Linked DNA regions of Tribolium castaneum. The protein of the gene in region 1 interacts with the protein of each later gene in a biochemical or structural test. Links are inferred from orthologs where the notes say so. Each region holds a gene or a part of one and is shown in the gene's direction. Other genes may lie near its edges. The genes, in order: alphaCOP and epsilonCOP.

Region 1 (3,832 bases):
AAATTTTCCTCTTTTTTTATCGGTAAAAGTTTACATTCATATTTACGGTTATTAATCATGTATAATTGTAGTAATTTAGAGTTTTATATAAACAAAAAACCCGATTTTTACAAAAACTTTTTTTTAGCTTGAGTCTAACCTTGTGTAAAAAACATTCGAGGTGTCACTGATATTGTCCAAAATAATTAATTTGTTTTAATTGAGTGTTACGTTTATGCCTACTTATGAATTTCCGTTACTCATGCGTTACATTGTTTCATAAAAATAATATTTCAAATTATTCATAAAGTTGTTAGGACAACTGATATTTCCTATCTAGCGATCAAACTTTATTCGTAACAGTTTTTTAGTTTTTAAAATCGTTGCTAATTTTATAGTAAAAGAAGGTGAGCAAGCGGTTATTATTCTTTATTGTTTTTCCGATAAGTGGCTCAAGTAACAGAATTTTTGGAAATCGATGAAGTACAGTATGAAGAAAGAGAAGAAAGTGACCTTTCCTTCTGTAGATCATAGGACAACACGAGATGGCCAACGCCCAGACCACATCTCTAATACCAGATTTATTTGGCAATTTACTATTTAGATAATGAAACAATAATGATCTACATTTTACATATCCTCTTGCTCCATAAATCATCACATTACTAAATTCGACCTTTTACGATTTACCCACAATTAAATATTTTGCAACGTTTAATAAATTGTTTTTTTTTTCTTTTTTCTAATTCAGCTTGCATAATGGATCCATTCAACTTTGGGATTACCGTATGTGTACTTTACTTGAAAAATTCGACGAACACGATGGACCTGTCCGAGGCATTTGTTTTCATAATCAGCAGCCATTGTTCGTCTCTGGTGGTGACGATTATAAAATCAAAGTATTCGTTTGATTTAATATCAAATTCCAATTCACAACTAACGATACTGTTTAGGTGTGGAATTACAAACAAAAACGATGCATTTTCACCCTTCTCGGTCACCTCGATTACATTCGTACTACAATGTTCCATCATGAGTACCCTTGGATTGTCTCGGCTTCCGACGATCAAACAATTCGCATATGGAATTGGCAAAGTCGGACTTGCATTTGCGTCCTCACCGGACACAATCACTACGTCATGTGTGCGCAATTCCACCCTTCTGAAGACCTACTTGTTTCCGCTTCTCTCGACTCGACTGTCCGCGTTTGGGACATTTCTGGTAGATTTTATCATGTGATAGCGTTCTATAACGCGTTCTATAATTTTGTTTTAAGGATTGCGGAAAAAGAATGTTGCTCCTGGACCCGGAGGTTTGGAGGACCATTTAAAAAATCCCGGTAGTACCGACTTGTTTGGGCAAGCTGATGCCGTTGTCAAACATGTCCTCGAAGGGCATGATCGCGGAGTAAATTGGGCATGTTTCCACCCTACTTTACCACTCATTGTTTCCGGGGCTGATGACCGCCAAATTAAATTATGGAGAATGAATGATTCCAAAGCTTGGGAGGTTGATACATGCCGTGGCCATTACAATAACGTTTCGTGCGTTTTATTCCATCCTCGTCAGGAACTTCTTCTGTCAAACAGTGAGGATAAAAGCATCCGGATTTGGGATATGGCCAAGCGCAACTATTTGCATACATTCCGAAGGGAACATGACCGGTTCTGGGTATTGACAGCTCATCCCAATTTAAATTTATTTGCGGCCGGTCATGATACAGGCATGATCATTTTCAAACTAGAGCGTGAAAGACCGGCATACACCGTACATAGAAACTTCCTCTACTACGTTAAAGACCGCCATTTACGCAAACTTGATTTCAATACGTCGAAAGACGTTCCTGTACTTCAGATTAGAGGTGGCGGCAAGACTCCTGTTTTTAGAATGTCATTCAACCCGGCCGAAAATGCCGTCTTGTTATCAATACGGTCTTCGAATTTGGATAACAGCACTTACGACTTGTATACGATCGCGAAAGAGTCGGACCGTGATGATCAAGTCCCGGAAGCCGAAAGCAAAAGATCATCAGGATTGACAGCGATTTGGGTCGCCCGAAATCGGTTTGCCGTCTTGGACAGGTCACATCAACTTGTCATCAAAAATTTGAAAAATGAGGTCCACAAAAAGGTGCAAACGCCACCGTGTGATGAGATTTTTTATGCTGGGACTGGAATGCTACTACTGAGAGATCCGGAACATCTGACTTTGTTTGATGTTCAAAGGAAACGGACTCAAGATCAAGGTATTAGTCATCTATCGTAACTGTCGTTTAGTCTATTGTGATTATTTCAGTTAAAATCAACAAATGCCGCTATGTTGTTTGGTCTCACGATATGAATTTCATCGCACTATTGGCTAAACATACAGTTACTATTTGTAACCGAAAGTTGGAAGTATTGTGCTCCCTGCACGAAAATACAAGAGTCAAGTCAGGGGCTTGGGATGATTCGGGTGTTTTTATTTACACCACTAGCAATCATATTAAATACACTTTGATCCATGGGTAATTTTTTTCTATAAAAAAATTTTAATGTAAAATTAAATTCTGCTGTTTTACTTAGGGACCATGGGATCATTCGTACTCTCGACTTGCCTATTTACATCACTCGAGTTAAAGGAAAGCATGTTTTTTGCTTGGACCGTGAATGCAAGCCTCGTGTCCTAACAATTGATCCAACAGAATACAAGTTTAAATTATCACTGATTCACCACCGCTACGACGAAGTCTTATTCATGGTCAAAAACTCGCGTTTGGTTGGTCAAGCAATAATTTCGTATTTGCAACAAAAGGGTTACCCTGAAGTGGCCTTGCACTTTGTCAAAGATGACAAAACTCGTTTCACTTTAGCTCTTGAATGCGGTAACATTGAGATAGCACTAGACGCGGCTAAAGCTTTAAACGATAAACTTTGCTGGGAGCAGTTGGCACAAACCGCTTTGTGGCACGGTAACCACCAAGTGGTTGAAATGTGCTATCAACGAACCAAGAGCTTTGAGAAATTGTCATTTCTTTATTTGATCACCGGAAATTTGGAAAAGTTGCGCAAAATGACGAAAATTGCTGAGATTCGCAAAGCGCGCTCTTCGCAGTATCATGGCGCTTTGTTACTTGGTGATGTTGAGGAAAGAATAAGAGTTTTGAAGCAGTCAAACCTGACGTCTTTAGCGTATTTAACTGCTGCAACTCACGGCTACGAGGAAGAAGCTGAAGAGTTAAAAATTTTGATCGGAAATGAGAAAAAAGTGCCCGATGTGGACCCCAATGCAAAATTCTTCATTCCTCCACCTCCAATTCAACAAGCTGAGAGTAATTGGCCGCTGTTGACAGTCAGTCGTAGCTTCTTCGAGACTAACGCAATGGTCCAAGCCAGTTCGAATATAAAAAGTTTGATGGTTGAACCTTCCACTGAGGCTTTGGATGAGGAGGTCGGTGGTTGGGGTGACGACGATGAGGAGATTGACGTGGACAACGAACGTAAGTCTGACGATGCGGCTCCAGCCGATGGTGAAGGTGGTTGGGATGTTGAAGACGCCGATTTGGAAATTCCTGATTTGGGGCCGTCGCAAACGCAACAGTCAGCTGAAAGTTTCGTTCATTTGCCTACTCAAGGGCCTAACCCGACACTTGCATGGACGAAAAATTCACAACTTGCGGCCGATCATGTCATGGCTGGATCATTTGAATCGGCTTGTCGGCTGCTTCATGACCAATTAGGAATTGTCAATTTTGAACCGTATGAAAGTATTTTCATGTCGTTGTATAGCGGATCTAGAACTAGCACAACGTGGCAACCAAACTTGCCATCCAACTTTACGTATCCTTTGCGCAATTGGAAGGATGCAGGTCTGA
Region 2 (3,200 bases), on another chromosome or scaffold:
TCCTGTAACAAAGTTGGTATTTGGAAACGTTCCTTTTCAAGGAACTCATTTAAATCATTGAACAACTGCAGCAAATCCAAGTCGGGAGTATTTTCTTTATCAAGTTCCAGTTGATTATCATTCATTATGACATCCAGGAGCTCGTTTGCTCTCTCACACATGCTTTTAATATTTTCCATTTGTGCCATTTTTCCTTGCAACTTTTCCAAATCAATTGATTCGAGATTTTTCTTTTTCTCTTCGTCTAACGCCTTGGTGACTTCGGCCATTTCCTGTCTTTTAATCCTCTCCACTTGCTCCACAATTCGCTGGGCTTCTGCAAATGCCTCTGCCGAGAATTTGTGGAAGTTGGTGGCAGTTTCTGACGTTCTTTTTTTTATAACTGACGTTGTTCTATTCAAGTTTTCTATAATTATTGCATTAACGGCTGGATTTTTACAAGGTCTGATGGGAGACAATAATTTGCCCTCTTTCATGTTCTTTTTTAAATGCTCATGCAAGACGAACGTCGACAATTTAAACATGAATTTGGCCACCTTTATGCCACCAGGTGAAACAAAAAGAGATGGCATTAGCTTAGGAATGTTCGCCGCTTTGTAATTTTCATTCAAGTAATCAACAAATGCCACCACCTCTTGTCTAAACTCTCGCTCTCCTTTGGTGTCGTATGGGGGCCAGGATTTGAGCTTTTCTCTGGTCAACTCAGGACTTAGGACATTGAAAAGGTAGTTGGTGACTTGTTGGAAGGCTGCCTTGTTATTTTTTTTAAACATATCTTCCCTGAAAACCTCATGGAAGTCTTGGGTTGGTGGATAAACATAAGTTAATTGCTTAATGTTTGCGAAAAGTTTCTCGTGGATTATGGCTTCGTAACCTTGCAAATTTATCACAGAGAATGACGCCATTCTGTGCTAAAACAATAAAATTATTCAAAAGTGAAGATTATACTTAACAAATTGTATCTTACAAAGAACAAATAAGCTTCAAAAACACGACTTTTTTAAACTAAAGACCAGTAACTTTAATTGACCACGACCAACGTCAGAAAAATAAATCACCAGACGGACGATTTTTTTATTAAAAACAGACGTTTTTTAACTGTTTTTTTATTTTAATTGACACACAAGTTGGGAGGAAGCTTAAGTTTAGTAAAAAATTTATTTTTGTGTACGTTTGTTTGACGAATTTCCGAATTATTAAGCAGCAAGGCCGCCAATATACACAGCATAAAAGCCCAGTTCGTTCCCATTTAAGGTTAAGTTTCTGTCAGTTTGACGTTCAAGATGTCGCGTCAGCAACACGACGACGAATTATTTGAAATAAAAAACTTCTACTACATTGGAAATTATCAGCAGTGCATAAATGAGGCACAAAAACTGCGCAAGGTTTTTACCACTTTTCCATAATTAGCTTGCTCAATATTTTTTCCAGCCCTCGACCCCCGAGGTGGCCATCCAACGCGACATTTTCACCTACCGCTCATACATGGCCCAGAACAAATTCCTGGTAGTGCTGGACGAAATCAAGCCGTCCTCACCCGAGGAAATCCAGCCCTTAAGACTCCTGGCTGAATATTTATCCTCCAAACAAAAACGCGAGTCTATTGTCGCCCAAATAGACCAGAAGCTGGCCTCCAACGTCGAAAGTGACACTCTTGCACTTGTGGCCGCGACAATATACGTTAATCAGAACAATCTAGAGACGGCATACCGCGTTTTGCACGCGTCTGAAAGCTTGGAGGCTTTGGCTTTTATTATTGATATTTTGCTGAAGATTGATCGCGTTGATTTGGCCAGGAAGAAGTTGAAGGAAATGCAGGAGAAGGACGACGATGCCACGTTAACGCAGTTGGCACAGGCGTGGGTCAATAACGCGAGTGTAGGTCGCAAAATTATTAATAATTAACCACTAATTTGTGTTGTTAAATATTTTTTACAGGGTGGGGAAAAGCTGCAAGACGCCTATTATATCTATCAGGAATTGGTTGAAAAATATGGGGCTACACCTTTGCTGCTTAATGGCCAAGCTGTGGCTCTTCTAGGTCAGGGGAAGTATGAGGAGGCGGAAGCTGCTCTACAGGAGGCTTTAGACAAAGATGCTAATTATCCAGACACTTTGATCAATCTTATCGTTTTACATAAACATACAGGGAAAACGCCTGAAGTAATTGATTGTCAAATTGTTTGTAACATTTTTTGTTAATTATTTTCTTTGTTTTAGATTGCAAGTAGGTATTTGTCTCAGTTGAAAGACGCTCAACCAGATCATCCATACATTAGAGACTTAAAACAGAAAGAAAGTGAATTTTCAAGGATTTGTAAACAGTATGGTCCTTCAGTTTCAACCATTCCGACGTAAAATGTGTGAAAAAGTTATTATTTGCTGTAAAAAAATTATATAACGTTTAAGTTAATTGTATTACATGAAAAATAAAGCCCATAATCAATTATAGTTTTTATTGATTTAAACCCAATGATACATCCACATTCCATAAACGTAATTCGTTTTTTCCCAAAACAATCCGAAACCGTTGATATTAAAAAAAAATGACTAAAAAAATTGAAATAAGTCAGGAGTATTAAAATATTCGGTGACAACAGTTATTGCAAAAGAAAGTTCCAAATACGGCTACAAAGTACAAAATAGAAAAAATGTGTACTTACTTTTTTGTTTTTGGCATCATTTTAAACTATAAGACAATTAATTTCCATTTTCTGCAAGCAATAACCGTCTTAAATATTCCAATGTTGAATTTATTGTTAAATGTTTGGTACACCATAAAACTCAAATTGGTGATTTTTTCAACAAATTTCTTAAAAAGTAAGCCAATAAACCACATAATTATGTCAAAAAGGACATTATTTTTGCAAGTTTTGAGAATTTTAAACCGAAAATAATCTTTTTTCCTTATTTTTATTAAACTAGAACACAACAGTCACCAAATTTGGTCGAAAATGACCAAGAATTTACCTTTTCTAAGCGTTTATTCAGCAAAAACTCGCAAATTTTTTAAAAAAGTAAGCCAATAAATCACAGAATTATGTGAAAAATGAGATTATTTTTGCAAGTTGTGAGGATTTAAACGCGTTTTTAGTCAAATCTTTGTTTAATCTTCGAAAAAAATAAAATTAAACCAAGTCTCAAAGTAGTAGCTGAACCGACATAACTATACGGAGCCCTAGTTTATCATTTTCAAAATT

Evidence for each region.
Region 2: the proteins of alphaCOP (region 1) and epsilonCOP form a complex in vitro, tested with the Homo sapiens proteins (3 studies listed by BioGRID, with this or other methods). The link is inferred for Tribolium castaneum from reciprocal best matches to the Homo sapiens genes COPA and COPE.

What each region holds. Positions count from the first base shown.
Region 1 is NC_087403.1:711,270-715,101, reverse strand, and holds part of alphaCOP (coatomer subunit alpha), read left to right. Parts: intron 1-730; coding exon 731-878; intron 879-932; coding exon 933-1,200; intron 1,201-1,255; coding exon 1,256-2,224; intron 2,225-2,274; coding exon 2,275-2,485; intron 2,486-2,543; coding exon 2,544-3,832. UniProt on the Homo sapiens protein: The coatomer is a cytosolic protein complex that binds to dilysine motifs and reversibly associates with Golgi non-clathrin-coated vesicles, which further mediate biosynthetic protein transport from the ER, via the Golgi up to the trans Golgi network.
Region 2 is NC_087397.1:2,371,648-2,374,847, reverse strand, and holds epsilonCOP (coatomer subunit epsilon), read left to right. Parts: upstream 1-1,224; 5' UTR 1,225-1,283; coding exon 1,284-1,385; intron 1,386-1,431; coding exon 1,432-1,878; intron 1,879-1,938; coding exon 1,939-2,163; intron 2,164-2,220; coding exon 2,221-2,358; 3' UTR 2,359-2,447; downstream 2,448-3,200. Other genes in the region: uncharacterized protein LOC103315197, read right to left, coding at 1-905. UniProt on the Homo sapiens protein: The coatomer is a cytosolic protein complex that binds to dilysine motifs and reversibly associates with Golgi non-clathrin-coated vesicles, which further mediate biosynthetic protein transport from the ER, via the Golgi up to the trans Golgi network.